Diceros bicornis minor: one gene and its partners. The protein of the gene in region 1 interacts with the protein of each later gene in a pairwise test. Links are inferred from orthologs where the notes say so. Each region holds a gene or a part of one and is shown in the gene's direction. Other genes may lie near its edges.

Region 1 (7,979 bases):
GGGAAGGTCGCTGGAGCTTCCATGACCTCTCCAGGAGACCCACTCTTCCAGCACCTCCACGTGTTCACCAACCTGGAAACGCCCTGAACCCCCTACTCTCAGGATGTTTATGGAGGTTTCCTCACGTAGGCATGATCAATTATAAGCTCCATTTCTAGCCCCACTCCCCTCTCTGGAGAATGAGGCTGAAAATTCCAAGCTTCTAATCATGGCCTGGTTTTTCTACTGACCAGCCCCCACCCAGGAGCCATCCAGGAGCCCACCCAAAGTCATCTCATTAGACAAAAGACACTGCTATCACCCAGAAAATTCCAAGGGATTTAGGAGCTCTGTGCCAGGAAACTGGGGCAAAGACCAATATATATATTTTCTATTATTCATGCCAAGTGTTTACATATTGAAGTCAATATTATATTTTTACAAATGGCTTTCATTTTATTTACGCTTGATATTGCTCTTAGAGCATTATTTTTGTTTGAAAATATATACATAAGGTATATATCTATGAATTTCACTTCAGGGTAGTAAAGGGGATATTACAAATATAAGTTATAAAACAGTGGACACTGATCTGATAAGGTGGAGAACCACTGCTCTTGATACTAAAAGAACATGCCTTAAACACATAAAATCTTTTTTTTTTTTAATGATGCAGCGATCAAGAAGTTACACCCTTCAAGAAACAAATCTGATTAGCAAATAGACGTGTTCCAGGTCTATGATCCTAGAAGAATATGAAAGAGTGAGAGTGAGAGAAAGAAAGTGAAATTGCTCTATAAGAGACTTTTTGTTGTTCTAGAAAGAATAAAAAAGACACCTGTCATCAAGCTGAATAGATGTAGTTATAACAAGATTTCAGAATAAAATCAATCACCGTGGTCCTATGTGGTCCCCCATAGGCTCCAAAGAGCTATCCAAATGCAAGGTGTATGATATCCCACACACTGAAAACCAGACATGGTGGGACATTTGATAACCAAACCAGTCCCAAGAAACAAAGGTTCTCTGCACGTGCTCTGCCTTCCTTCTTGCTACCATAGAGGCGGTTCCCCCATTCCAATCTACGGCCAACCACATAACCTGTGCTCTAGATTTCATCCTTCCTCCCTTCCCCACCCATTACCCCCTTCCTCTCTATCATTATCAATTTCTCCTTCACTACTGAGTCAGTTTCATCTTTATACAAATATGCCTTAATATCACCCTCTATAAACAAAACAAAACTTCAGTGTCTGAGACTGCTAGGGCTCACTGATATCTATTTTCTTCTCTTCTTTCTGGGCACACAGCTAAATTACATTTCTTAAATTATATTTCTCAGCCCCCTGTGGAGGCCATATGGAAAGTCGACTGTGATCAGAAGTAATGTATTCCTCTTTCAGGCCTGGCCTATAAAAATCTCCCATTCATGATCTTCTACTCTTTTTCCTTTCCCAAGGTGACTTTGAAAGCCACATGTTGCTGCTACAAGATAGAAGGCACCAGGGTCCCTGAGTTACTCCTGGAAGAAAGTTATTCAATTCACATTGGACTGTGACTCAAATGGTAAGTAGACTTTAATTATGTTAACCTGTTGAGACTGCAGCTGTCAGTGATAGCCCTTAGCCTAACACAACTCCACAACCGCTCCAGCTATCGCCTCATTTCTGTTTCCTTTAACACTCTTCAAAGAGTTGTCTATACTCATTGTTTCCATCATTCTCTTCTCAACCTCCTCCAATTCAGGTTTTATCCCCACCATTCCACTGACATGGCTCTTATCAAGGTCATTAATGACCTTTATCTTGCCAAATCCAAGGTCATTTCTTTATTCTCATCTTTTTCAATCTCTCAGCAACATTTAACACAGCTGACCACTTTCACTCTTTTTGAAACACTCTCTGGGACACCACAGTCTCTTCATTTTCCTCCTACTTCACTGGCAGCTCCTTCTTCTCCACCACTTCTCTAAGACTTGGCGGATCCTCAGTCTCTCTAAATTTTTTTTTCTGTATCTGCACTCCTTCTTTAGGTGGTATTATCTTAAATGAAATGCTGCTGACTCCCAAATCTTTATTTCTAGCCCTGATCTCTCCCCTTAGCTTTAGTTCTGCATATTCAACTGTTTAGTGGAATGTCTAAACATTCTGCATCTGTAACTTAACATGTCCAAAACACAACTCTTGATCTTTCCCTCTCAAACCTCTTTCTTCACCAGCCTTCCGTTGTACCTGGTTGCTCAGACTTTCTATCCTATTGCTTTATTTTCTTTATAGCAATAAAGAAACAAATATTTTAATAATAGTAATTTAAATGATCTTATTTGCTAACATACTTGATGTCTTCACGTGGGACAAAGCTGCATGAAGGGAGAAATTTTGTCTTGTTTATTAGTGTACGTGCCACCTCCTAAAGAGCACCTGGCACAGAGTAGATATTTGTTGAACTGAATGACCGGTTACCAACAACTGTAAGCTCTTGGGGAAAAAACACCATGTGCTATTCTTCTCTATAATCCCCAACAACTAGCTGCCTATTATCTTTACAGTAATAAATTTTTCCCCAGCATAAGTCCCAAAGAAAACCAAAATCACTGTTTGTTGTTGTTTTTAGCCCATCCATCAGTTTGTCTTGTAATCTTCCTTTTTTTCTAATTAAGTTTATCCTGCACAAGTAAAAGATTTTCACTTTTCAGATGTGGACTGGATCTTTGAAAAAAGGGTTCAGCTACTTCAAAAAATAGTGAAAGGGTTTTACAAAAAAAAAACCTTTAAAAAAGTGAGATAATATAAATCCACAGCTTAATCATGTGACAAATAAAAATAGCCCTGGAAATCAATATAAACATGCCATCCTCTTAGCGAGGAGATTTAAATAAGTCAGAGTCTTTGAAAAATAAAAGATAAAACTTAATTAGTTCAAAATTCTGTAGTGTTACTAAATCTCATAAGGTGCAGCTTGTGATTTCATAGATTGGAGTGCTTTTGGGACTGGTCTGGGGTCCTGCAACTGGGACAGATTCTGTTTGGTCCAGAACTTTTCAGTAAACAAACATTATCCCCTCTTAAGTTAAAGAAGCACCTAAATAACCAATCAGTTTCTGGAGGTGGAATATAAACAAACACATACAAAATATTTTCCATTCCTATTTGTCCCTCACTCTCCTAATGGATTCTTAAACATTTGTGCTGTTTGCCCTTACAGCTCTGACATTTGGGGTTGTAAGGGTAAATAAAAGCCTAAAAACTTAAATTAAAAAATTTCCCTGGTGCCAAAAAGGACAGAGAACATTACCCTCTCCGTTTTCACTGAACAATTCCTTTAGAAAGACCTAATTTGTAAATGATTTCTCTGTCTCTCTTAAATGTTTGTACAGCTTTTAAAAACCTAAATACGCCTCTTGCCAGTTTTGCATTCCCCTAAGGTCTTTCTGGGGTCCTTGGAGCCATCTCTTTGAAATGTGAACATTAAGGAGGATGGTGCCCCATCTCTCTTCCTCTGTGGGAGTTTAAACCTCGGCTTTTGGCCCCAAAAATGTAACTTCCTATTATTTTTCCTTTGGATAAAGACAACAGGTATGTAATGGATTGTCTCCCCATGGCTATATAAAGTGAGATTTTTTTTTTTTTGTCTTTTGTAATCTCCTTAGCGCATCACAGTGTGCTTATTCAATAATTAAGCTGTTTCATTCTTTTCTAGTTTTCTACATTTTGTGGAGAGGATATTTTGGGGTTGGTAGATTTTATTTTTAATTATTTCCCCAACTGGGTCCTCCAGCTTGGCACCTGTATGGCAGGCTGACATTCCCCATTCCCCCTTCAGACTTATTTTAGGCAGTAAGGGATAGCGGAAAGGACATAGAGCTTTGGAGTCAGACAGCTTCTGGGTTTAAACTGTGCTTTTCTTTTTACTAGCATTCTGAGGGACTGACTTAACTTCTCCGAAGTATTACTTAACTTCTCTGAACCCCGATTACCTCATCTATAAAATGAGGATAATACTACTTTATAAATGAGGTAAACTGACACATGGGAGGTGCTTAGCACATGAAGGAAACCAAGTTACACCAGATTCCTGCAACACACTAAACGTTCGTTCCAGTCCCCCCTTCCTTGTCGGTATCCTCGTCAAATGCCAAGACACTGTCCAGTTCACTAATTGTGAGCACACCGCGTAATGAGACAACGAACTCACAGCGCGGACCGTAAGAGTTTAAAAAGTTTTAGTAGGTAAAGTACGTCAAGTTAACAAAGCCCTCGCATTTTAGACATAAAGGGGGAAAGTCAGACTGCGGGGGTCCCCGTATGCAAATACACGAATTACAAAAGAATACAGACGACAGCCGCTTCCGCACTTCCCCGCGAGGGCGCACCGGGACGCCTGCGCCGAGCCGCCTGCCGGCGCGGGGGCGGCGATTTGCATGTGCGAAATCGGGAAGAGGGGGAACCACCCATCGAAAACCCCAGGCAGTCGAACCCCCCAGCCGGGAGGGCCAGCCCTACTTCGCCGCCCGGCCCGCCCCCAAGTGCTCCCGGGCGGCCGGCCCTCTCGACGTCACCGCACCCTCCCACCTGCTCCTGAACTTTAAACCACGCGCCGAAGAACAACCCGGAGGAGGGGGATTTCTCAGGAGCCGGCAGCTTCCGCACGCTCGGGACCGTCACCTCCCGGGTCCCAGCGTTCCCTGCGCTCCCGAAGATCCCGCGCTCCCGCTCCCCGGCCCGGGTCCCCAGCCAGCCGCACTGCCGGGAGTGGCCGCGGGGGCGGGGCAGGGGCGGGGCGGAGCGCGGGCAGCCGTGGACGGACGCGCGCGCGCCCGCCGCCAGGACGCCCCGCCCCCCGCCCCCGGGAAGGCGGCGGTGAGGGGCCGACGTCAGCCGCGGGAAATCCCCCTCCCGCCAGGCTGCCCGCCTGTCGGCCTCTCCGGTGCTCGGCTGTCGCCGCGCTCCGCCCCCTGTCCCTGGCTCCGCAGCCTGGACCGGCGGCGCCGGGTGACCCGGAGCGCGAGAATTAAGGGGGTGGGGAAGGTGTGAGCCGCAAACCCAGAGGAGGCCGGGAAGGAGGAGGAGGCCCCGGGGGTGGTCAGGGGGACGGGGGTCCCGCCGGCAGAGGTCCCTCGGCCGCCCGACTGAGCGGCGGGTCACTGACTACGGCAGCCTGCGTGCGATCCGACGCTTGGAGCGGGGCGGCGCGGGGAGCGGAGCCATGGCCTCGGGTGAGTGTCCCGGCGCCGACCCGGCCCGGGGGGAAGGAGCTAGTCCGAGGGTCTTGCTGCCCAGAGTTTCCGGGCGCAGTTTTGGTTGTGGCACATTCGGTCTTTAAAATCGCCTCTTCTGGCAAATTGTCGGCCTTTTAAAAAATTACCTGCTTCAGGGTTTGCGTGCGAAATCAAAGTCACGCTCTGTAATTTGATGCCATGATGATAGCTGGGACCTTAGAAATTTCCAACGACTTGGTTTTAGGATTAGGGAAGTAATAAGAATCTAAATAAAGGAGGGCAAAGAATTCTCGTATTTAAAAAGTGATTTATATTGAAATGGTTTTAGAACAGGAATGAGGAACATTCAGACCTCAGGAGAGCTCTACCTTTTTTGGTTTAATTTCATCAAGTGCCAAAGGGTGATCGCCGTTGTGCTGCGAGTTGTGCAAAATGTGGTGCGGCTTTAAAAGTCACCAGGGGTATTTTAACAGGTCTTAAGTGGAAATGTTGCTTGATCGAAGTGGATAATTTTTACTGTAAAGTGCATACTTTCTAGTTTACGGAGCAGAAGTCGATTTTTGTTTTTGTTTTTCCCCCTTGTTGGAAAGAAGGGGAAAAGAGGATTTTTAGAGTACTCGTGCTTTAAAATATGAGTCGGAATGAAAACAACTTTCTATCACTTATGTAAATATTTATTTTCAGTTAATAAGTGCGTGGATCTCTTGTTTTGGGGGTAAACCAGTTAACCAAGAAACAGCTAGAGGTCAGGGGAGGGAGTCTCATATCGTATGCAGCGAAGGTTTAGGTCCACTTGTAACCTAAGGGAAGTAAATCAAGTAGACTGCGTTGGAGATGGACCTTGACAGGATTCTGGCTAGGTTCATGAGGGCGCTTTCCCGGCAGAGGCAGCAGCGTGAGCAAAGGCAGGCAGGCCTAAAAGTATACCTTAACACTATACTGGGAGGCCGAAGAGGGGGGCTTGTTTATGCTTGACCCGCATCCTCCCAGCTCCCTGGTTCAGTGACCCTCAGAAGGCTGATGTCTAGCAGAGAAGAGGAAGTAGAAAGCATAAAGGACTTTTTTAAAGGCTTGAGCAGAACAATGCTGTAGCTACTGCTGTAGGCTGAAAAGGAAATTGGGGTGGTTCACATGACATTTGATTTCAGTTTGTCTGTGGTTTTCATGTGAGAATACAAGTGTAGTCTAAAATATTTCAACTTTCTCTTTACCCACTTCAGTGACCCCAAACTTTCAGATAATCTTGTAAATTCATAAATTCAAAGCATATTTAGATGAAAAGTGCAAAGATGATTTGAAATATTTGGTTAATTTATTGGTTACCGGAAAGAGATTTTGTATGAAAGAAGTAAAGAATGGCGAGCATTATAAATAAAGGTCAGCCTGCTGGCAGTTTAACCAAACTTTGTTAATATGAATGCAGTACTTCTAATTCTTTCAGAAGACAGAGAAAAGAATTAACCATTTATATAGAGAGTATTGTAAGACCCATATCATTTAAAAATGTGATACAATTTAAACTTGTTTGATGACATTATATTTTGTGCTGTTTTGAAAATGTATTCCCTGAATTGAAGGGGAAAAATTTAAAGGAATGGAAAGTTGTAGGGTAATTATCTTTTTTTAAAAGTTTGCCTTTTCTGGAGTTGCATTCAAATGGGGCTATTTAAACTATAAGAAGTTATTTAAATTGTAATTCATTTATTTGAAAACTGCTAAGCAAAATTTTTAAAAGGGAGCCTGGATGTACTTTCGTTAATCACTTGTAAAGACCTCAGAGAAAAAGATTCGCTAAATTATAAATTCCCATCCTGTTTTGAAACAGTAATTTAACCAAACGAGTAACAGAAAAAAAATTTGCTTAGTTAATCATTGTCTAGTTTGGATTCTGTTTGTAGTAAGGTAGTATTAAAACCTCAGAAAGTATTTTTATTGATTACCAAGCATTTAAGACCATTTCTTCATTTTTCACCGGATGTCATATGTAAATAGGTATGTGTAGTTGAATATGTGATCTGTATAACAAAAAGTAACAGATCATAATCTCATAAGCAAAATTATATAAGTACCATGAGTAACTGGGACTTTGGTATATATATGATTCTACATTTTGTTCAGGTAAATTATCAGATTAATTATTTAGGATTTCACAGCTCGAGTTCTATTAAGCTGTCTTTATTGCTTTTTTTTTTTTTTAATTATATCCCGATTGCAGTCTTTTGACATGATTAATTAGAATAGGCATTTTTAAGAAAAATGTTCCCAGTCCGATCTAGGGTATGCATAGTTAGGCAATCATGACTTTTGTATATGTATATAATTCTATTCTGTTTAATATAAGTTAAATTATCTATTTTATATCTGAATTTAAAGCTTCTCATTGCTCCAGTAGAAAGTGCAACCTGTTCTTGTGTGCACATAGGTTTATTTACTAATAAATAGTACTGTCTTTGGTAAAATATGTTTTAAAATTTAGGTAATTTATTTTTATTCAGTTTTCTTTAGTATAGTTCTGCTATGTCACATAATAGGAAGTACACGAAGAAATTGTTTTTGTAAACCGCACTACTTACCAACTCTGTCTGTAGTGTGAATTTCAAGAGAACTATTTCTCTTGAGTAAGGGGAAAAAAATTAATGTAAGTATGATGCGACAATCTTTAATGATAAAGCTGGAAGCTGGAATTGATAGCTAAAGCAAATGACTTCTTTTAAGTAAAAGACTACGCACATAAACATGAAGGCTGTTTCAGAAATGCAACACATGAAAATGTAGCGATGAC
Region 2 (7,424 bases), on another chromosome or scaffold:
AAAAAAAAAAAAAAAAAAAAAAAAAAAAAAAAAAAAAAAAAAAAAGAGTTAAATGAGAGGCTTGGGTAGAATAGGCAGTGGTGAGAGAAAGAAAGGAAAAAAGTCTCAAAAGGCTGGCAAAACACAAGGTCAGGAAAGGGCTATAGGAAAAAAATTGCTCTGCATTTAGAAGAACAGGCAATTTGAATCTGAAGAGCAGTAATAAAAACTAGCAGGAGCTACAAAAAGGAAGACTCGCACATTTCGAACGTTGGCAGTTATTATCAGGGGTCAGCAAAGCCCTATTACGCCTTGTTGCATTTTTTTGAATGTGAATCAACACATCAAAACACATTGTTCTGTTAGGGGCAGCAGAAGAGTTACCAGATTAACTTTCCTTCATCATCTAAAACCAATTTTACAACTTCACATACATAATGTTTATGTAAATTATGTATTCTGAAAGGGTGTGACTTTTTAGATTTAACTCTCGTGTCTAAGCAGTACTGTATACTCAAATATACTCAGGACTCCTTTATACTCTTCAAAAATATTGAGGATTCCAAAGAGCATTTGTTCATGTGGGTTAAACAACATTGTGTTAGAAATTAAAACTGAGAAATTATTGAAATATTAATAAATAACTATAATAAACTCAGTACAGGCTTATGTAAGTAATATATCTTTAGTGAAAATAACTGTATTTTCCAAAACAAAATCTCTTTAATACCTAGCTTAACAGAACAAAGCTGGATTTTCACATATGCTTTTGCATTCAATATGTTGCATATGTTGTTTTTATTGAAGTATATGAAGAAAAGCCAGCCTCCAATATAGTTGGAAAGGGAAGGAATATTTTAATAACTTTTTCAGATAATTGTGGATATTCTTCTTTAATATTACATTAAATCAAGACAAATGGTCGTTTTGTAAAGATTAGTTGCAATGTAGAATCTGAAATGTTATCAGTGAACTTTTGGTATTCTGTTACATTAAAATCCATTGGCCCGTCTTGAACCTCCAGCGGATGTTTTACCCATGCGTGATTTTGTAACATCATGCACTGGTCACTTGGAAAATATTGGTTCAATGGTTTATGCAGATCTTCCAAATTTTGACACATTTCATTGTACAATTTCAAGCAATCACATTTGTTATTATCACCACCAATTTAATCAGAAATGTCTTTAAGTGTATTGAGAAGTTGCCAAGTTACAGTGGTAGATATGTTTTCGAAAACTAATTTTCAGTTGAAAGGTTGAATTTTATCATTGGCAACAAATTCTGCCAGTTGTTTTCCTTGAAGTGACAGGCTCACATGTTCATTTTTGATAAAACGTCTGTAAAATACCCAACTCTTAATAAAGATAGTTTGTCTCAATCGTTATTTTAAGTAAAAATGGTGTTCCATGAAAAAAGTGGCTAGTTCAGCTCACAACTCAACCAACTGCACAAGTGCTTTACCATGTACTTTGGTATGCAGTGGAAGGCCTTATGTATCCTTCCCAAGTATCACATAGACCATTAAGAAGACGTACTTGAAAGTTGAGGTTTAATAAAATTAATAATTTCTACTGCTTCATCAAAGACATTTTGAAGTGGAACTGGCATTTTTTAATAGTGAGTGTGTGGCATTAGTAAAATTATTGGTAGTACAGTAATTGTTTTTGCTCAGTATGCTTTTACATCATTCGTACAAGTGTCAACACAGTAAAAAGGCAAATAATGTCTTAGTTTTATAATGATAATAGTTTGGGCAATGCAGACTGACCCCTGAAAACATCTTACGGACACCCAGGTGTCTGCAGACTATATTTGAGATGAATTCTTCTCATCCCTGCCAGAATGTAAATCTTACAACTTGAGAGGTTTTTTTTGTCTCTTGTTCACTGATATGCCTCCAGGGTCTAGATCATGCCTGGCACATAGTAGGCACTCAATACATATTTAATTAATTAAGTAATCAATCAGAACTAGATCATAATAATGAAGAGCTTATAATCTGCATTACTGGAAACCCATTTTAAAAAATTTAGTTTTGAATAGGTAAAATATACAACAGGATACATGGTGAAAAGTCTCCCACTTTGCCTTCCCCTAGGCACTTAAGTTGCTTTCTCAGAGACAACCACTGTTGTCAGTTTCTTAACTATTTTTCCAGTGATATTTTATGGATTCACAAGCATTATATACACAAGAATATTCCTTTCTTCCCTCACGCATACGGTGGCATATTATACACATTATGGACTGCATAGTGCTTTTTTAAAAGTAAACTTTTTCTTTTGGAATAGTTGTAGATTTACAGAAAAGTTTCAGAGATTCTTGTATACTGTTTACTCACTTCTACTAATATCAACATCTTACATAACCATAGTACCATGTCAAAATTAAGAAATTAACATTGGTTCAATACTATTAACTAAATTACAAAATTTATTCGGATTTCATTAGTTTATGTCCTTTCAGTTCTAGGGTCCAATCCAGGATACCACATTGGGTATTTAGCAAAGTGCTTTTTTCCCTTAAAATGTATTTTCAGGATTGTCTCATATCAGTTAATATGCAGTTGCCTCATCCTCTGGAAGGACTGCAGAATGACTCCCTAGAAGCAGAATTTCAGGGCCAATGATTATGTGCATTTAAAAATTACCAAACCCCTCTTCCCCAAAGAAATTACCATACCCTTCTTAGCAGTCCCCCCTGTGATTTGAGTGTTGCAAGCTTCTTTGAAGTTCCAAGATTAAGACTGGGAACTGAATGAAGGTTATAAATGTAACGTACTCAAAAAGTTTCTTTGCACACTTCAGAATAATTATTTTTAATGTACTGGCACAAATACAGATATGTATCATTGCATGATTTACATTATACCAATAACTCGTACCATGACCCACATATATAGTTGGTTCCTGTTGGGACCACTAGGGGGCTCTGCTGGAAGGGTTTTTATAATTTATGTTAGTCCACTCAGCGAAATGTTTCGAGATAATGCTTTAGAATTCTGAACTCTTAAAACTCGAAAGACATCATCTATTTAACCCAGCTTCCTTATTTTGCAGATGAGGAAACCAAGGTTGGCCAAGAAAGCTGGCATGGTGGAGAGCTGGAATCAAAAATCCACTCTTGGTCCCCGTGGCAGGAGTTCAAGAAACTCTTTGCCATGTGCCTCCACTGATGATTCACACCAGGGGCTATTTCCTTTTTTGCTGCCACAATTTTAGAAATTTTTGCTACGACTATATATTTGTGATATTTTTCTAATATGATACTTTACTGATGGGTTAGGTGAAAGAAGTGCATGAAATATAAACTTTATTACTTATTCCAAAATGTTCTATTCGAAGTACCTCTCAGCACCAAAACCATATTATTTACTGTAAACCCTAGAAACTACTTTTCAATTGCCTTTCAAACTTACTTTCCTCTTAAAACATTTTACTTTTATCTTTACTCATTTATTCATTCAATATTTATTGAGTGCCTACTAGCGCTAGACACCGTTGTAGTCCCTAGGCTTCGGAAGCAAAGCTACCCTTCTCCCCAAAGAAACAACTATTTCTCCATTTTTCACTTTAATACATAAACTACCTTCACATGCCTTAGTTCAGTGGTTCTCAGAAGCAGCCAGCATCTGGGAACTTGTTAGAAATGTAAATTAGGCCCACCCCACACTTTATGGATAGGGTCCAGCAATCTGTTTTTTTAACAAGCTCTCCAGGGATTCTGATGTACACTCAAGTTTAAGAACCATGGTTTTAGTTCCACGGCTTGGTATTAGTTATCTAAGTAGGTCAAAGATCAACATCTGGCTTCTAAACCCACTTCAGGCATCTTCATGGAGTACTCGTCTCAAATACACCCGATAGGACCCAACAATGACCATATTTAATTCAGTGATTTGCAGTACCTTAAATGACCATAATAATAGTGACACTACAATGGTTTCAGAGCAAACACTGACCGCAGCGGATTTTCTGGGCCTATACCAACAGAAAGTGGGCCGGACTGAGTTCTGGGATAGTGTGTTCGTACATTAGACACAGCCGGCCACATCAAACCTCGAAGTTTTGGGTCTGGGAGTCAGGACGGCGCTGCAAGACAAGTGGGGCCGCGTGAACCCGTCAGGTTGGACCCGAGCCTTCGGTCAGAGGCTAGGGGCTGGAAGCCCGGACAACAACGCACCGGTCTGAAGATGGGCGGAGGCGCGGGAGAGGCCGCGGGAGGCCCCGGCAGAGCCGGTCAGCACGCAAGCCGCACCCTCCTGGCCCCAGACGCCAGCAGGGCGGAGCCACGCGGCCGCAGCTCGGGCAGTGGCGCGCGGCGCGGCGCGGCGCGGGCTCGCGGCCGAGGCGTATGGGGCTACAACGGGAGCGGCTGCGTCGCCCGGCCGGGTCAGCGTCTTGCGCATGCGCGGACCCGGCGCCATTTTGGTGGCCGGGCGCGGAGGTGATTCTACATTGAGGAGAGCGCGGCGGCCAGGGTGGCAGTGGCAGCGTTCGTGTGCTCGGGTGTGAATCGCCGAGGGAGGAGGCAGTGGAGGAAGCGGTGGCGGCGGTGGCGGTGGTCGTAGCGGTGGCGGAGGAGGCGGGTACGAATCAGCTGCGGGCGGAGACATGGCCAACATCGCGGTGCAGCGAATCAAGCGGGAGTTCAAGGAGGTGCTGAAGAGCGAGGAGGTCAGAAATGAACTCCCGGACATCCCCCACCTCAGCCCTGGGCGGGAGGGCCCTTCCGGCGGCGACCCCAGTATTCCCGGTAACCCCCGGGTCGCCCTCCTTGTGGCCGCCCTTCTGCCTGTGGGGAAGCGGCAGTCTCCCCCTCCTTCCGCCGCTTTCCCCTCTCCTCCTAGGGCCCTGGGATGGACGGTCTCGCGGGCGGGTGGTCTGGAGAGGAACCCGGTTTGGGGGGGCGGATGGAGAAGGGCACTTTTCTACGGGATGTGAGCTCTAGAGAGAGCCCCGAGGCTGTGGCAACAGCTGGGAGTGTGGCTGTAGGGTGGGGAGGGAGCAGGCCGAGCCTGAGAAAACCCGGGAAGTGGGTTGGGGGAAGGGGAAAGGTGGTAACTGGATCCGGAGAGCCGCGCTGCTGAAAGGCCCACACTTTTAAGGGTATTCTGGGATATAGCCTGTCTGGCCTCCACTGTCCTGTCCTTAGGTATTGATGAAAGGAGGAGGACATTCAGAGTTACTCCCTCTTAGTTGGATGTTGGGAGAGAAGAGGAGACATGATGGGATACTATCTTATTTGAGTGGGGAATAAGGGAATTTTCACCTGAGATAGGAAATTAATTCCAAATTAGAGCATTATTTTATTTGCACTTTCCCCCAATTCCTAGGCCTCTTTTCTGTTGACGTCTAAAGCTTTTTGACTGGGTAAAGGCCAGTTGTTTGGTGTATTAAAAACGTTTAAATATTTTTAGCTAGGAAAAAATAACAGTATATGAGTAGCTTATTTCAAAATATTGTTTACAAGTTACCGATCAGAGTCTCTCCTAAGACAATGCCTCTGTGACTCTGTTGTGTCGTGCCATGAAACTTCATTATGATGTCCCTCATAGTTAACTTGATTCTTACTTTTGAAAAACAGCCATATTAAAAACATGGGATTTCACCAGATTAATACATTGTTATATCTTTTTATTAAGTGAGTAGATTTATCCCAAGATACCGTATCTGAAATGATTAAAAAAAAATTTTTTTGTCTCAAGCTGCTCTTGAGTCCTGCAGAATTTAAATACTCTAGCGTTGACCACATTTATTTATATAAGATATTCAAAATGTTCTAGTAATTTGATTCAAAATTGTGCAAGCATCAATACAGTTTTTCATACCCAAATCAACAATAATGTCAGGTTGTTTTTCCTCCTTGGATTTAACAAAGATTAAGAAGTAATACTGAAATGGTTATTTTTTTCAAGATGTCACATACCATTATTGAATGTATCATTGCTACTTGTATTTTTCTCTTATGTTGGTACTTTGATAATCTCAATGATTTGTGAAATTCAGCATTCTAAGTATGTGATGAGTAATTGACATAAGTTTGATAGCACTTGAGCTTTATTTGTGCTGCTGAATCTACAGTGATTATGTATCTTTCCAATTAGACAAAGAATAATTCTTTAAAATTATTGAAAAATGACAAATACTGACAGATTTATTGAATGTAGTAGTATATAAGTAATGGTCCGTTTTACAGAGCATGTGTATGAACTCTGACCTCTGTATTTGTCCAAGTGCCAAAACTCTGAATGGAAGGATGACTTTGTATTTTTGTGGTACAGTGCAAAAACAGAGTCATAAATGTCTGTGCTGATAATCAGTGAAACAATAATTCTAACTTATTTAATAAGAAAATATATTCCAGGATAGTAGACATATATATTCTTGATGACAGTTGTAGCTAATATTGTTACCAACAGCCTAAAACATTTCTTATAACGTTGTACAAGCCTGAAACTTAAAATAAGACTTCTAATGCTTTATTTTCTGTTACTTGAAAGTGGTCAAGTTACTGCTCTCATAATTCGTCTCTGCTATATATGAGGTGACTTTTCACCATCATATTCTTGGTACTTAACTTGAAGCTTAAAAGAAATCTTGTATTGCTCTAGTAATGCATATTGTTAAAATAATACTGCTCTTAATATGTTAGGGATGATGAAGCCTTGCTTCAAGTAAATGTCATAGTGTTTTTTAGAGGTAGAAACAGGAAATGCAAACAGACAAATTATTTTTTAAGAACAATATCTTTATAAATCTGGAAGGAAACTCTTCCAGAAAGTAAATTGCAAAGAACATTTAGGAGAGGGTTAGATAATTTAATCTTGGAATGTAACCGATAAATAGCTCTATTTTCATCAATATTTTATTTCATCGTTGTTTTAGTAGGCCCAGTTCTATAAATGGTTTATGTTGGTTATTTTCAACTCATTGAAGGACTTGTAGTACAGTCCATGTGTTTCCTTTTTAAGAATGTAAATGCAGTATTTTGAATGGCTGGTCAAGTAATCAAGTATTTCATCATGTCACCTATGTAAATCTCCAGTTTACCAAAGTTTATTTTATATGTTTGTGTTTACTAAGAAGAAGGGTTGATTTATGGACTTTTTTTTACCTTTTAAGTCTTTTGAAAAGATAGCTGATATTTGCTGAATTCTGGCCATAAGAAGTTGTAAGTGGCCATTCTTGGAGTGTGGAGTTAATTAAAATATAGCTTCAAGATAAATCGAATGTGAAAAGCAAGATGCAGAATAGTGTGGAGGAGGCTGTCATTTGTGTCAGAAGGGGGGAAATCTGTGTATTTGTATAGGTGAAAAGATTAGTGAGAAATTGGTAAAATTGATTGCTTTTGGTAGGAGGATTTGGTGTCTAGGGCAACAGGCATCAGCAGATCCCTTTTGAATTTTGAGTCACGTGAATTTGTTATTTACTGAAATAAAA
Region 3 (6,944 bases), on another chromosome or scaffold:
AGCCTGCATAATCCTTCATATTCAGATGCAAATTATTAAGAAGGTAATATGAAAGGCCGTGTGACTTGGCGAAGATAGTAAGTAGATGGGGTAAAAAAAAGGCTGAGAGAGAGAATGAAAGACTAATAGGGGAAGGGAGTGAATGATCAGCTAAGTGACCATAAGATACCAATAGAAAATCTTGAGTTAAAAGCCATCAGGCTAAGTCAGAATTCACAGAATCCTAGATGTTTAGAATTGTTCAAGGCAGAATTTTTAAATTCTCCATTGCAAACAAGTACAAAGAACGAGGCCATATGCATCACAGCCATTACCTTTATGCTTGGGTCTAGATTTATGAAAGAGAGGTGGCTTAAGGACTCACTGAACTGAATTCATCTATCTTAAGCACACTGAAGTGTTTTTAAACAAAAGGTGATGACTCTGACTAAGATGAGAATTATTATGGTTCTCAGAGCTGCAACTTCACCTTGAACTGCTGGGTAACATTTTCCTTTTGGTCCCCTGGTAAGCATCTTCCATCTGCTTCTCCAGTTCTCTTATTTTCCACATATCTGATTCCTCCTGAATCTAGATTTTTTTAAAAGGAAAGAAATAAAAATAATTTAACAAAAATAACACAGAAAAGTAATTGAAAATATGGTCTGCACTAATTATTGGATTACAGACTGGGTTACAATCAGGAACGTGGGAAGCAAATTCTGGTTTCTCTAGAGTGGTTAAACAATCTGACGCAGTAAATCTCAAATATGTAGAATTCTGCAGCAACAGAACTTTTTAACCCCTGCATAGACACACTTACTACCTTATAAATTTTGCAGTTATGCTGCAATTAGCAAATGATAATCCTTATGTTTCTAAAATGCTTTGTGATTTTAATTGTATCACCTCAAGTGAACCTTAAGCAATCTTATGAGGAAAACAAAGCAGGTACCATTATTACATCTTATTGAGAAGAAACAAAAGCTCAGAGATTTTATCAAAGTCAAAAAGCTAGTAAGGACAGGTCTTTAAACTTTCTAGGCTAAGTCTCTTCTCACAACATTATAATTTTTGTTAAAAACAAAATAGAACAAATGAGAACTGCTAGAGAATTTCCTGAAAAGCAAATTACAATTGCCCAAAAACAAGAATACATTTTATTTCTAAGTCTTTCTGTAATGTTTTGTTAAATCTGTGGTAGATTTATCTCTTTTAGCCCCCACTTTCAAATCTACGCTCATTATCCAACCAGGGGTGGTTTAACATGATGACAGAGGCTGCTTAGGTAACAGTTATACCCTCACTCACAATCAAAATATCAGGAGATATGATAGTAATAACACTTATGATCAAACTAGGAGTTGTACAGTTCACCAAAGAAAACCAAACAAGGATTCTGGGCCCTCTTTTCATCATATGTGCTCTCCTAGGTGACTTCATCTATTCTCATGACCTCTATCAATTCCTGTATATCAATAATCCCCAAACCTTTACATCCAGCCTCAACTTTTCTCCTTTCCTCCAAGTCTGAATTTCCAACTCTTTGGACATCCTATAAGCACCTCACCATCAACATATTCAAAAGCAAACTAATTACCTTTCCCATCATACTTGTCCCTTTTCTTTTGTTCCCTATCTCAATTAATAGCATCATCATTCACCCAGTCAATATATATAACACAAGGTGTTTATATTTGATTCTATAATTATCATTATCATCCAATAAGTCACCAAGTTCTTTGGAGTCTATCTCCTAAATTCCTCATCTTCATCCCTAGTATCACTGCTTTCATGTGAACCCCTCATTATCTCTCACCTGGAACATTGTAATTACCTCCTAATTGATCTCTCTACTGTTTCACCCTTCTGATCTAACCCCTACCCAGCTAACAAATCATCTTTCTAAAATACAAATGCAATTATGTCACATCCTGCTTAAAATCATTTGATGGTTTCTTTATTGCCTAGAGGAGAAAGTCTAATCTCCAAGCATCATAATCCAACTGTAATTTAGCACTCGGGCCTCATCTTCTGTCACTATCCCCCACATTCCCTATTTTCTGGATGCACACAATTTCTTGCCATGCCCCAAGTGCTTCATGCTCTTTCTTGTTGCCATCTTAGTACATGGTGTTCTGTCTGGAATGATCTTTTACACCTGGTAAACTTGAACCTGTTCATCAAGAACTAGTCCAAATAGCAGCAGCTCAAATACCACCCATTCTGTGAAGCCTTTCCTAATTCCCCAAGGCAGATTTCATTATTCCTTCCTCAGTGCACTAAAGCACTTTGTATACGTCTCTAAGTACTTATCAAATAGTATTATAATTATCTATTTTATTCATCTTTTGTATCTCCCAACTGTACCAAAATAATGCTTGGCACACTGCATGCCCTCATTAAATGCTGAGGAATAACTAGGTTCTACCTCTCACCTTATTGTGAGCATCTGTGTGCCGGATGACATTCCTCAGGAGGACTTTCCCCAATGGAACCCGGGACATTCTTCAATCTGAAATGAATCAATAAATAACATTTAATAATAAAAATTCCCTTTAACACCTTGTCTTTTATTACAATGCTATAAAGAAGCATAAGGTAAAGGAAAGATCACTGAACTCGAAGTCAGAGATCCTGAGGAACAGTTTTTCCTTCACCATTACAAGGGGAAAAAGCCTGACCACACTAATGTGAGGATGAAAGGAGATAATGTACACTGGAGTTCTTTGAAATTGCACAAAATTAAGTGCTTTCAAAAGCAAGTATCATTTTATTTAATCCTCAAAATAACTCTATATTTTATATGAAGCAAGTATCTTCATTCCTACTTTATGGATGAAATTTCCTTCAAGCCATAACTTGCTCCAGGCCACACAGCCCAAAGCAAACAAGGTCCTGATTAGAAATCAACTCTCGCATCCCAAAATTAGTTTGCGATGAAGCAAATACCTAGATTTGAGAGTGTCAGGGACCACAAATGTCAACAGTAACAAAAACCGACGCCGAAAAACATCGAATGCAGAGATGCCCTCAATTTCTCCACCTAGGGGAATTTTATTTTCTATTTTGACAGGGATATTCACGTGTGCACTAGCAGGGGCTTTGTGCAACCATCCCCCCGCTCACTCACCCCTCGATCCTGAGGAAATCAGGCATCTTGTTAGTGTGAGACGAAGAACCACTCCATTACAAGATCTCCTCCGACCCAGGAAGCCAAGGAGTCAGGGCTCAAAGGCAGCTCTGCAGCTTCACCCGAGTCCTTCGTGAAAACGCAGCCTTCCCACCGGTTATTCTGCCCTCACCCGCGGCCCAGGCCGCGGCGGCCTTTCCCCCAGCCCAGGCCGACAGCAGGTACCTCTCCGGACTGAGGCCTGAGGCTGCGCCGGCGAGGGATCCGGACGGTCGGGGCGGCTGGGGCATGCCCCGCTCACGCTCCTCTGGGACGGACCCAGGGGGTGGGTTTCGCTCCCCAGAAAGGATGGGGACGCTTTGGAAGGGTATGACCGTCCACTGGGTCCCAAGAAGTATCTAAAGTGCCTGAAGGGGGAGTTGAGTCTTCCAACTGGAAGACAGAGAAAATACCCCCATTTTTGTCACCGGGATCCCTGCTCCCCTGGGGCCACAGAGCTCCCGGTAACCTTCCCTCCACACGCCCTCCCCACACAAATGCACACAAACACACCCATACCGTGCGCCGCAGCCTCGCGTGGCGGGGGTGGGGGGAGGAAGCGGTCTGGGAGGAAAGGAAGCAGGCTTCCCTTTCAGGCCGGAAGTCGTGCTCCTGAGAAATTCTTCCCACCAACAGGAGACCCAAAAAGACTCCCACAGGGAGGGTCTCCAGGACGCGCTAGAGGTCGACAGGTGCAGAAGGGAGACGGGCGCCTTCCTGAAAAAGAAGTGGGTCGGGCTCAGCTGAAAAGCAAGCTCAGCATCAGAAGAGGGAGATCCCTCCGGAACTGGATGTAAAAAGACCTTTCTGTCTGCAGCTTCCCGGACCCAATTAGAGGCTGTACCCAGCCTGGTTACCCTGGTAACAGGTGTAGCGGTTTGTCAAGGAACTGAGAGAAGAGGTGAGTCGGGCGACCTCCGGAATGGTTGTCGGTTAGTTAAGTTTCCCATTTAGTCTAATCCTAATATAGTGTTCGAAGAGCCCAGACCTCCTCTTCTTCTCGTTCTGTGGATGCTGTGGGACATCTCTCCAGTGAGGGAGGAGGGTGCGAGGGAGGTTATCTCCAGTCAGAGAGGATATTATTACACGCATATAGTGTTAACCAGGTGTTCAGCCTCTCTATATTAGCTTACTTAATCCTCACAATAACCCTATGAGATAGGTATTATCGTCTTCATTTGGGGGACAACAAACTGAGGCACATATATAAATTATTTCTCAAGGTCACACACCTAGTAAGTGTGGAGCTACGATTGGAATCTAGGCGTTCTGGCTCTCGAGTCCATACTTTTAAATACTAAGCTGTGCTGAGGATTGAGGAAGTCGCATGTGGCCCTCACTCCACACACACCCCTGGCAATTTCAGGACTGGATAGGTACCAGTCAGCCAATGCCCAGGTACTGGAATGAGAAAATCACCAGGAAGTCCAGACTTAAAATGACTACTCTGTCCCCTCAGGGCTTGTGAGGGTCTAGGCAGAGGTAAGGCCTTATTTGAGAGGACAACTTGAGAATTTAGGAAGGGTTACTAGATAATTAGAGAATAAGGAAAAGATAAAGTGGTGCTGAGCCCAGTTTTTTCAGACACAGGTGTTAAGGATAGCTGCTAACTTCACCCAAACAATTCCTGACATATTCCTCCTCCCCTAAAAGAAGAAATGAATCAATAGTTACAAAGACTTTTTTTCCCTTAAGTCAAGTCTTTCCACAGACGTAAGAGGCCTATTCACTGGAATCATGGAGTCATCCTCAAAGGGTCTGCTCAGCCAAGTTACTCAATTCTGGAACCTCCTAGATGATCTGGCTGAAAGTAATCCTGAGAGCTATGAGAAGTTCATTCAACAGCAATTGAAAGAGGGGAAACAACTCTGGGCTGCCCCAGAACCGCAGCTCTGTCTACAAACCAGGATCCTGGTATGTAGAGTTGGTGCCCAGGGATGGGGAATGAATGAAATGATCCTGAAATAACTGGAGAATAGCTTACCCTTAGCTATTGCTACTTTAACACAAGAAAACTTGACGGAAACTGCCACTCTAAGTGGAAACAGTAGTGTGGAAGATTGTTTTGAAGGAGTAAGAAAAGGAAATTCATGTTTGATATATTTTGGAGATCTCAAAATGAGCTATTTTTCTGCTAGAATGAAAACAAAGAGTAATGTGATGATTTAATAGAGAATCATAGAGTTGGAGATTTTTCAAATAAAGAGAATTTATTTAGTGGAGGAAGAAAGGAAGTGGTGAAACAGGGTCAAACGAATTCACCTGGAACAGCTGCTTAGATCAAGTTCCCCTTCCTCCTCCCAGTTCCTCTGGGAGCAGCCACTGGATTCTTGATAAAAAGCCAGCAGCTTTGGGGAAATCAGGTAACAGTATAATTTCTCAAACACAGTTTTAATACATGGAATGACTTACTTGGAGCCTAAAATTCTCACTCTTAAAATTCTGTGACCTTTAAGATATTTAAAAACAAAAACCTAGGTTTTGAGATATGCAAAATTATTTGCTTTCTAGAAACCAAAAGAAAAAATACTTTTTATCAACCTATGTCAGTGGAAAAGGATCCCAGCTCCCCAGTCAACCACTCATCCAGTACCTCTAAGTATTGGAAGACCAGAAGATATATCTGAGACATCAGGTACACAGAATTATGGGAGAGAAAACACATTTAAAAATTTTTATTGGGAATAAGAATGGACCAGATTTTACTTGGTAAAAGGCATTACAAGTAAAATATTTTATTTGGTTATAAAGTAGTTAATGACTAAGTGTACCTTTATGCAAATTGAATACTGTTTAATTTTTCTATTAATATGAGCTGTTTTTAACCCATATAAAATGCCACAAAATGCCCTAATTGGAATTTTGTGTATATAGCACCGTTAGGATTGCCTCTGAAAAATACAAGAATAAAATTTATGCTCTCTAGCTTCATCAGGATTATGGCTTAATATATTACCTGACAATATCCTTAGTGAAACAAGTTGTCTTCATCTCACACCCTCTGAACTACACACACAGATCTTTACACAGTCATCGATGTTGCCTACAATCCTGATGTTCTCCAGGCAGCAGAAAAGGACCAAGTGAAGAAAGATCAATTAATATGGATGGCCATGAAATGCATTGAGGAGCAACTCCAATTCACTCTCTCACACTCTTACCATATTACCAAATTTAGAATAAAAGGAAGCATTGAAAGGATGAAACAAAATCTGATGGGAATCCAAACTGACCCCACAGATTTAAGAGAGAAAATGAGAAAGGGTAAGTTAATGAATGTAAACTGAAAATTAAACTGATTTAAATTTTTCTGCATCCTGTGTATATTTTGCAAACTAGAACTCTCGATTTTAAAAGAAACTTAAGATAGAAAAATATAAAGATTAGATATTAGCATGTCCTTAAAGATTTTTAAATCCTGTATACTTTTAAACCAGATTCTTTGGTTTAAGATTCTTTTGATTTAAGATTCCCAAACTAATTTAGCTGCAGTTTTATCTGCCATCTTGGCTAACACTATTATAGGTCATAGCCTGTTAGTATTTTCTGTTGTTGATTAATTGTGTGATTTCATTTCCCCCCTTTTTTCATCAAGAACTAACCCTTGAACAGATAAGAAGTAGTACTGTGAGCAATCCAGATCACTCTCCTCAACTTTTACTGCCAAAAGACCAAGTTTCGGGCAAAACAGGGTGTCTGATAGAAGAGATTTCTAGTGCAGAGATCCAGGTGGAGATGAAGACACCAGACTATGAATTAAAAATTGTGGTGGATCAAAATGAAAAACCTCTGA
Region 4 (7,929 bases), on another chromosome or scaffold:
CTTTAAGAAATTAGAAAAATTTTGTGGAATTTATCAGATTCAGGGATCTACTATTTCCAATTACACCATAAATCAAATACTAAGGCAATCCCCCAAAACTGTAATGAACTCAGTCAGCCAGGCGAGGTCAGCACCGCAGCCAGCGGGCTTCAATGAGGCTGAAGTGCTCCCAGCTCGGTGCTGGTGACAACAGTATTCCACATGAAAACTGCAAGAGCGTCTGCTGACCCTGGCACTGGACATTACCTAAGGCAGCTGATCCGCACTAACGTGGCTCAGCCAAGATCTTTTAAGAGGACACACAGCTCTAACCTGAGTCCTCAAACTTCATGTATGCAGTTCTCACTGAATTCAATACAGTCTGGGGTCTCACAGCTGCTGGAAAGGGCATCAGGTGGCAAGGGTATCTGCTAATGAGATTAAAAACTGAACTGTAAACTGGCTAACATTTTGCCTGGATTATCACATGCTCAAGAACCAGAATTTCAGTCTGGCCTCTGTTCAACCACGCGTCTCGCTCATTCTGCCCAAACTGATCCTGATGACGACTGGTGAACTCAAATACACCACAACCCAGAGAGCTTTAACCAAACGACAGGCCAGCATCTCCACAAGAAAGAGAACAAGGCAAATGTCTAGCAAAGAAGGTTTCACAGCACAGCTGTGTCCAACAGCTGCTCTTTTTAATATTTCTTTCACAGTGACCCTGGCCTTCAGTTCACTCTTGGCTTCCTGCATGGCAGAGGAGAAACAGAACAGTCACAGTAATAACAACAACAACAAAAACCCCGTCAGAATCTCACAAAGGTTTGAGGAACTCTTCAAACTGAAATCTCTAAAAAAGAAAGTGCTCCAAAAAGCACATGAAAAGATGAGCAACATATCATTAGTCATTAGGGAAATTCAAATCAAAACCACAGTGAGATACCACTTCACACCCACCAGGATGGCTACAACCAAAAAGATGAACAAGGCGCCGGCCCGGTGGCACAGTGGTTAAGCGTGCGCGCTCCACTTTGGCGGCCCGGGGTTCACAGGTTCGGATCCCGGGCGCGGACACACACACCGCTTGTCAAGCCATGCTGTGGTGGCGTCCCATATAAAGTAAGGGAAGGTGGGCATGGAAGTTAGCCCAGGGCCAATCTTTCTCAGCAAAAAGATGAGGATTGGCATCAGATGTTAGCTCAGGGCTGATCTTCCTCACACACACACACACACACACACACACAAAGACGGACAATGCAAGTGTGGAGGAGGATGTGGAGAAACTGGAACCCTCAGACACTGCTAGTGGGAATGTAAAATGGTGCAGCCACTTTGGAAATCAGTCTGGCAGTTCCTCAAAATGTTAGACATAGAGTTACCATATGACCCAGCATTCTACTCCTAGGTATAACACAAGTGAATTGAAGACATTTGTCCACTCAAAAACTTGTACATGGATGCTCACAGCAGCATTATTCATAAGAGCCAACAAGTGGAAACAACCCAAATATCCATCAACTGAGCAATGGATTAAAAAAAATGTCATATATCCACACAATGGACTATTATGCAACAATAAAAAGGAATGAAGCATTGACACATGCTGTGACATGGGTTGAACCTTAAAAACATTATACTCAGTGAAAGAAGCTAGACACAAAAGGTCACATATTGTATGATTCCATTTACATGAAATGTCCAGAATAAGCAAATCTTAGGACAAAAAAATCAGTGGTTGCATACGGTTGGAGGGGGGTGATGGCTAAGGGGTATAAGATTTCTTTTCGGGGTGATGAAAGTGTTCTAAAATTAGATTGCAGTGATGGTTTCACAACTGTGTGGATATACTAAAAACTACTGAATTGTACTCCTTAAATGGGTGAATTCTACGGTATGTGAATTATAACTCAATTAAGCTGATATGAAAAAAAGCAAGCTTGAAAGAGGCTGAGTTATAAAAGGCAGAAGTATTCTAGGAAGGTAGAGTCCAAGAAACTAGTCCTGGCTGAAAAACCAGATGATGGGGCAATTCACATGCCACTGACTTGTTTCAATGACTGACAAACAGCTCACCAATCCAGATGCAGCGCAGCATTCCTGGGCAGGACCACCCCCCGACCCGCCACAGACATCCTCCTCAAGTGGCTTCCAGCCATCGCCAGGTGTCTGCTCTGGGCTGCCCTGAGACATAGCAATCGTGCACCAACTCAATCACCGCTTCCACTGGCTCACAAGGAAACTGGCACCTGACAGGAATTCAGAAACAACACACTAATGACAGCAGTTGCCACAGTAACCAGAGCAGCCTTCTCTCTGACACTTAGCTACCATGCCAGTTGTCCCCCAACCACATCAGAAACCATCAAATTTAACAATGGGCACAAATTCAAGATCATTCCAAACACGACCACACCAGGGATCTCACTTGCAGAATTTTATAGTTACTTGAAAAAAAAAAAAAATCCTGTACTTTCATACTAAATTCTCACATTTTAAGCAAAAGGGATGGGGGATCACCACGTGAGGCCTACAATTACGAAGACAGAAATACCTCAGTCACAATAGTTTTTCACTTACAATAAATATCATGGCTCATAACAGAAGTGTAAGTTTATAGACCAAAGACACAATTAACATGAAGATGTAGTTTTCCCAGTCAAAAAAAGAGAAAAATATTTATTCCAACAAAACAGTAAGAAAAGAGAGGGTGATCAATGCTCTGCAGTTAGCAATAAGAAAATGCTCTCAGTCTTTTGGGTGGAAGATCTACTTGTTCAGAAGAGACGTTAAGATTTAAAACTTCAAAAGAGCAAAGGGCAAGCCTAAGGAAAAGACACATCCTACATTCTGTCCTCACATGGGAGCAGCAAGGCAGCAGAGTAGGACCTCAAAGCTTCTGTAAGGCCTTTCAAGGGGACAGCTGTTAGGACGGGCTTCTGGGAACAGCCTAGGAGATGGGGTGTCAGGCTAAGGATAAAGGCGCAGAGGGAGGGGGGAAGTGGGTCCTAAGGCAGGCAAGGGTAGGTAGAAAGGAGGAACAGTTTTGTAAGGAAGGGAGAGAAAAAGGAGCATTAACCACTGCCCATCTCCTTTGGCTGGGGAAAAAATGCCAAATGTGTTACCACTTGCATGAGAGGGATGAGGTGCAGGAAAGGGCCAGGGCAGGTGAAGCTGTAGTTCCAAAGCTATCAGGGGCTGGCAGCAGACACTCAGAGATCCAGGTCAAATCGGGGGAGGTGGATAGACATGAGAAGGAACTATCCATGTGAGAACTAAAACTGGGTGAGTTAGATTTCCAGTACATGGGTATCAGAGACTGGCAGGAAGCCTGGCTGTGTAGGTAAGGGTTAAGAACAGGGAAAGAGGGTCCCCTGGTGCCAAGAAAGGAGGAAGACGAAGGCATGGGGTGGGAAGATCTGGGTAGGCAGGCCAGGGAGACTGGGAGCAGACTGGAAGTGGCCAAAGAGGGGTAAGGAGTATGAGAAGCCTGGGGCAGGAGGCCTGGGTGTCCCAGCCAGGAAGAGACTGGAGCAGTAGGGGGTCCCATGACACAAGACCTAACATACTGTGAGGAGGCTCTCCCAGCAGCACCCAGGATGTGAGTGCCTGGTGTTGGGGGAGGGGGCACGAGCCAGGAATCAGTTGTAGGTTGTGGGCTCTCAGGGGCTAAAGGGGGTTGGGTGCTCCCAGATCTGAGGGGGCTGATTAAGCTTCGTCCCAAAGACGAAACCCTAGGAGGAGGAGGAGGAGGGCCCCAGAGCCTGAGGATTCCTGGGAGGGAGGAAAGGCGGCAAGGAGGCATGTCTCAGGTCTGGGAGAATCAGACATGGGCCTAGCCATGGGGAGGGTCCCGAGTCAGGAGAAATCAGTGGAGAGCTCCTCAAGATCTGAGAGGGAACGAGGGAGGGCCGATCTTTGGGCGACAGGTCATGGAGAGGAAGGACCCTGGTCTGAGGGTGGCGAGTCATAAGGGGCTTCCGGATCCCAGGCGGGCCGGTCACGGGCTTCATGTCTGGGACAGTGTTCAGGGTCTGCCAGGAGCTGCTCACGACAGGCTCCGGGTGTGAGGGGGCAGGTCAGGGTTGGGGTTCGAAGCGTGTGAGACACCAGCTGGGCAGGTCCGGGGGTGAAGCGCCGGGTGCGGGAGGCCCGGTGGCGAGGGCCTGGTCCGCGGCTGCGGGCTCGAGGAGCCGGGGGCGGGCACGGCCCGCGAGCGCCGCGAGGAGGCCCTCGGGCCCGGCCCGGCCCGGCGCTCACCTGCAGCACCACCTCTACGTCGTACGAGTTCCCCTTGCTCTTCTGGTGGCCGCGGAACTTGGAGCCGCTGTAAAGCAGGCTGGTGGCCACGCCGGGCTGCTGGGTGTTGATGGGCGGCGGCGGGATGAGCGAGGCCGCGGAGGCGGCCGAGGCACCGGCCGGCGGGGGACACTCGGTGCGGACCGGCATCGCGGGGTCCCCCGGAGCCAGGGCTGGGGGGAGGGGAGAGGAACCGCCGCCGGCGCGCGGGAGCCGCGGAGGGTGGCAGGGAGGGAGGGGCCGGGGCGCGCGCGCGCGCGTGGGGCTGGGGCGGGAGGGGGGAACCACCCGCCCGCTGCCTGCGGACCAAGCGCTCCGGCCGCCACCGGGACCCCGGGACCTGCTAGCAGGGCCTCCTGGTCCTGAGCCGAGTCCCCCTCCCCACTTGCCCTCGCACACACACCACCCCCTCCAATTGGCTCGAGCGCGCCGGGGGGGCGGGAGCAGGCTCACGCGGCGCTTCCACCCATTGGCGGGTGTAGAAAACACGTGGCGAGATGCGCGAGGGGCCCTCTGGGACTTGTAGTCTTCTTCCCGAGACGCGGCGTGGAGGGGGCGGGGCGAGGTGCGTTTGTGATGCTGATTGACTGGGGGTGTGCGCAGGATGCGCGCGCGAGCGACGGCGCGCCGTTGGTGTCATGCGGAAGATGGCGGCGTCCAGGGCAGGCTGAGGGTTCTGGGGCAGGCAGTGAGAGGTTTCCGTACAGCCGGAGCCTGCGGATCCCTTCGCTCTGTTTCCTGCTCTCAGGTTTCGCGCCTGTCGTCCTCCCAGGCCCTCGGGTGCGATGTGGAGGACCTGCCTCCGGCTGCGGGACGAGGGGCGCCGCCTCCTGAACGGGCCCCGGCGTGGCCTCATCGCCTCCGTGAGGCCGGGGCCAACCCCCCCGCCCCAAGCCCGGGCCTACGCACCCCCGACAGGTGAGGGAGGCCAGGGCACGTTCCCTTTTGGCCAGGGGCGAGCCGGGCTGAGAGGTTCGGCCGTGCAGGCAGAGGTAACCGAGTTAGGGGTCGGGCTCATGAGGTTACGCAGGTCAACAGGATCCTGTTACAGATCGGGAAAGAGAAGCCCAGGCCAGAGCAGGGACCACCCCAGGGCACAAAGCGCGTCCCGGCCGGAGTCAGTAATTGACATTTAGGAAGTGCGTCTTTTCTCAAAGCTTGTGGCTTTCCTCTCTTCAGTAAGGAAAGCAGATGTCATCGTTGTTTTGGGACAAAGAAATTCGGGTTCTGGATCAGGACTACGCCAAGGTCACAGAGCAGACTCTGCGAGTTTTGTGGAGGGCAAAGGTCGGCCTGTCTGACTGCTTTCTCTGGCCCCAGGACCCGGCGCAGAAGGGGCCTAGAACCCTGGCATTCAGTCTTCCATCCGGCCACTTTCTCCGCAGGTTTCCTGGCCCTCCCTCCTACTGCCCTACCACCTAGAAGGAGGCCTAGAAGAAGGTCGTGGCTCTTTCTTTGCTTTTGGGGAGAGGTCTTAGCTTAAGAGTGGGAGTGACTGACTCCCTTAAATGAGTGAAGAGTAGGTAACACTCTCCTTCCATTCAATTAGTTTTTCTGTGCTGAGGGCAGAAGGCACCATGGTCTTCAAGACAGACATACTTCTCACCTGGATGATGTTCACTGTCAAAGTGCAGAAAGTTATGCTATCCTGATTAAACAGCTTATAATATCCTGGATAAGGGAAGTGCAAAGAAGCTGTGAGAACACAAAGAAGCACCTACTCCCATCTTAGGGGTGTTGAGGGTCTAGAAAGGGTCTTGGGTGAAAGGATATTTAAGCTGAGTCTTGATAGATGAGTAGGAGTTTGGTGTAGAGGAGGAGGAAGAGTGTTGGGTGGCTAGAACATGTCCAGAGGTGACAGTGGGGATTGAGGGACCTTGGTGTAACACTGTCTGCTTTAGAAAATGTAGATCTCTATAGGCAGTGTGGCAGTGTGGCAGAAGTACAAATCTAGGTCTGATGCTGGCTGAACCTCTGAGGTACTGTGTGATCTTGGGCATGTGACTGCTTCCTCTGGCCTTATTTTCCTCTGTGAGTTGAAGGACTACGTTGCCTCTGAGGGTTAAGTCCCATAAGTTTATGTAGATGGGGATGATGCAGCAGGGAGCTGGGGTTTCACCTGTCAGGACCCAGGTGAAGGGCCTGGAGGTGGGCCATGAAGAGCCAGTAAAGAGGAGGAAGGAAGGGCATCTGTGATATTGGGATTTATAATAAGAAATATATATATATATTTAGTCTTCGTCCTGTCCTGGCACACATCTCCTAAAACGCTTGTAATTTACTAGGCAATAAGAGCTATAGGAGAATATTTTGTTATAGTATTTGGTCTTTTGTCCTGAAATAACTCCAGAGTGATAAAGGTGAAACGAACATCTTGTTATTCGTAACAAGCACCTTTCAACCACGTCTGACTTTATGTTAATTCGGTGACTTTTGGAAAGCCCCTAAGGATGGGGGCTGGTTGCCAGGGGACCAACCACATGATTAGAGGGTTGGAACTTTCAGCCCCACCTCCTGATCTCTGGGAAGGGGAGAGGGCTAGAGATTGACTTGATCACTAATGGCCTGTGATTTAATCAATCACGCTTATGTAATGAAGCCTCCATAAAACCCCTGAACTACGGGGTTCGGAGAGTTTCCGGGTTGTTGAACACATGGAGGTGCTAGGAAAGTGGCATGCCCAGAGAGGGCATGGAAGCTCCGTGCCCCTTTCCCCATACCTTGCCCTGTGCATCTTCCATCTGGCTGTTCCTGAGTTGTACCCTTTTATGATAAACGGGTAATCTAGTAAGTAAAATGTTTTCCTGAGTTCTGTGAGCTGCTTTAGCAAATTAATCAAACCTGAGGAGGGATCCTGGGAATCTCACATTTACAGGTCAGAAGCACAGGTGACAACCTGGACTTGCGATCGGTGTCTGAAGTGGGGCATGGGGGGAGGGGGGAATCAGTCTTGGGCTGAGCCCTTAGGCTGTGGGATCTGACACTAACTCCAGGTAGATAGCGTCAGAACTTAATTAAATTGTAGACACCAGCTGGTGTTGCAGAGTTGATTGGTGGGAAAACCCCCAAAGGAAAAGGTAAAGGCAAATAAGAGGTTTTGTGTTTTTTCCTTTACAGCATCCCAGGGAGGCGCAACACTGGCAGAGGGGACACATTCAAGAGTTCACTGAAGTTGGCATGAGCGGAGGATTAATTTAGATTAGTGGAGGCCACTTCCCGTTATGGTGGCACTTGATCTGCCATCTCCTTTTCCTTTCTACTGCAGAGCCACTAATTTAGGCTCTTGGAAGTGCCTGGTACATGGTAGGTAGTCAAACATGAAAAAAAATATGGATGAAGGAAAGAGCGAAGCACAGTGGGGGGCAGTATGTCAACCAGGCCTATGAGTGCCCTACAAAGACTTGACCAGTTTGAGACTGTGAGTCTTTGGAGTAGTGGAAGATTAAACCCAAGTTGGGCCTTCTTGACGAAGACCTCGGTTGGCAAGCAGACTGAACTTGGCTGCTTAGGAATGGCCATGCCATTGAAGGTTGTCAGGAGAGGAGGGGGTTAGGAAAGGGTCACTGAGGTGTTGGAGGAGATCTGTGTGAGGCTGTGTGGCGGTCCGTCTGTGAACCAGCTGTCAGAGATCCATCAGCTGCTTCGAGG

The links.
Region 2: the proteins of REL (region 1) and UBE2K interact in binary tests that used the Homo sapiens proteins (3 or more experiments, as listed by UniProt). The two-hybrid records come from large-scale screens. The link is inferred for Diceros bicornis minor from reciprocal best matches to the Homo sapiens genes REL and UBE2K.
Region 3: the proteins of REL (region 1) and PIH1D2 interact in binary tests that used the Homo sapiens proteins (3 or more experiments, as listed by UniProt). The two-hybrid records come from large-scale screens. The link is inferred for Diceros bicornis minor from reciprocal best matches to the Homo sapiens genes REL and PIH1D2.
Region 4: the proteins of REL (region 1) and ATPAF2 interact in binary tests that used the Homo sapiens proteins (3 or more experiments, as listed by UniProt). The two-hybrid records come from large-scale screens. The link is inferred for Diceros bicornis minor from reciprocal best matches to the Homo sapiens genes REL and ATPAF2.

Annotation. Positions count from the first base shown.
Region 1 is NC_080751.1:26,337,959-26,345,937, reverse strand, and holds the start of REL (proto-oncogene c-Rel), read left to right. Parts: upstream 1-4,976; 5' UTR 4,977-5,184; coding exon 5,185-5,194; intron 5,195-7,979. UniProt on the Homo sapiens protein: Proto-oncogene that may play a role in differentiation and lymphopoiesis.
Region 2 is NC_080747.1:32,620,231-32,627,654, forward strand, and holds the start of UBE2K (ubiquitin-conjugating enzyme E2 K), read left to right. Parts: upstream 1-4,412; 5' UTR 4,413-4,595; coding exon 4,596-4,658; intron 4,659-7,424. UniProt on the Homo sapiens protein: Accepts ubiquitin from the E1 complex and catalyzes its covalent attachment to other proteins. In vitro, in the presence or in the absence of BRCA1-BARD1 E3 ubiquitin-protein ligase complex, catalyzes the synthesis of 'Lys-48'-linked polyubiquitin chains.
Region 3 is NC_080746.1:24,219,439-24,226,382, forward strand, and holds the start of PIH1D2 (PIH1 domain-containing protein 2), read left to right. Parts: upstream 1-3,936; 5' UTR 3,937-4,052; intron 4,053-4,846; exon of another isoform or gene 4,847-4,862; 5' UTR 4,863-4,888; coding exon 4,889-5,065; intron 5,066-5,662; coding exon 5,663-5,786; intron 5,787-6,169; coding exon 6,170-6,415; intron 6,416-6,746; coding exon 6,747-6,944. Other genes in the region: uncharacterized protein NKAPD1, read right to left, coding at 470-570, 2,418-2,486.
Region 4 is NC_080757.1:1,434,932-1,442,860, reverse strand, and holds the start of ATPAF2 (ATP synthase mitochondrial F1 complex assembly factor 2), read left to right. Parts: upstream 1-4,926; 5' UTR 4,927-5,066; coding exon 5,067-5,199; intron 5,200-7,398; exon of another isoform or gene 7,399-7,502; coding exon of another isoform or gene 7,503-7,584; intron 7,585-7,929. Other genes in the region: GID4 (glucose-induced degradation protein 4 homolog), read right to left, coding at 4,243-4,431. UniProt on the Homo sapiens protein: Plays a role in the assembly of the F1 component of the mitochondrial ATP synthase (ATPase).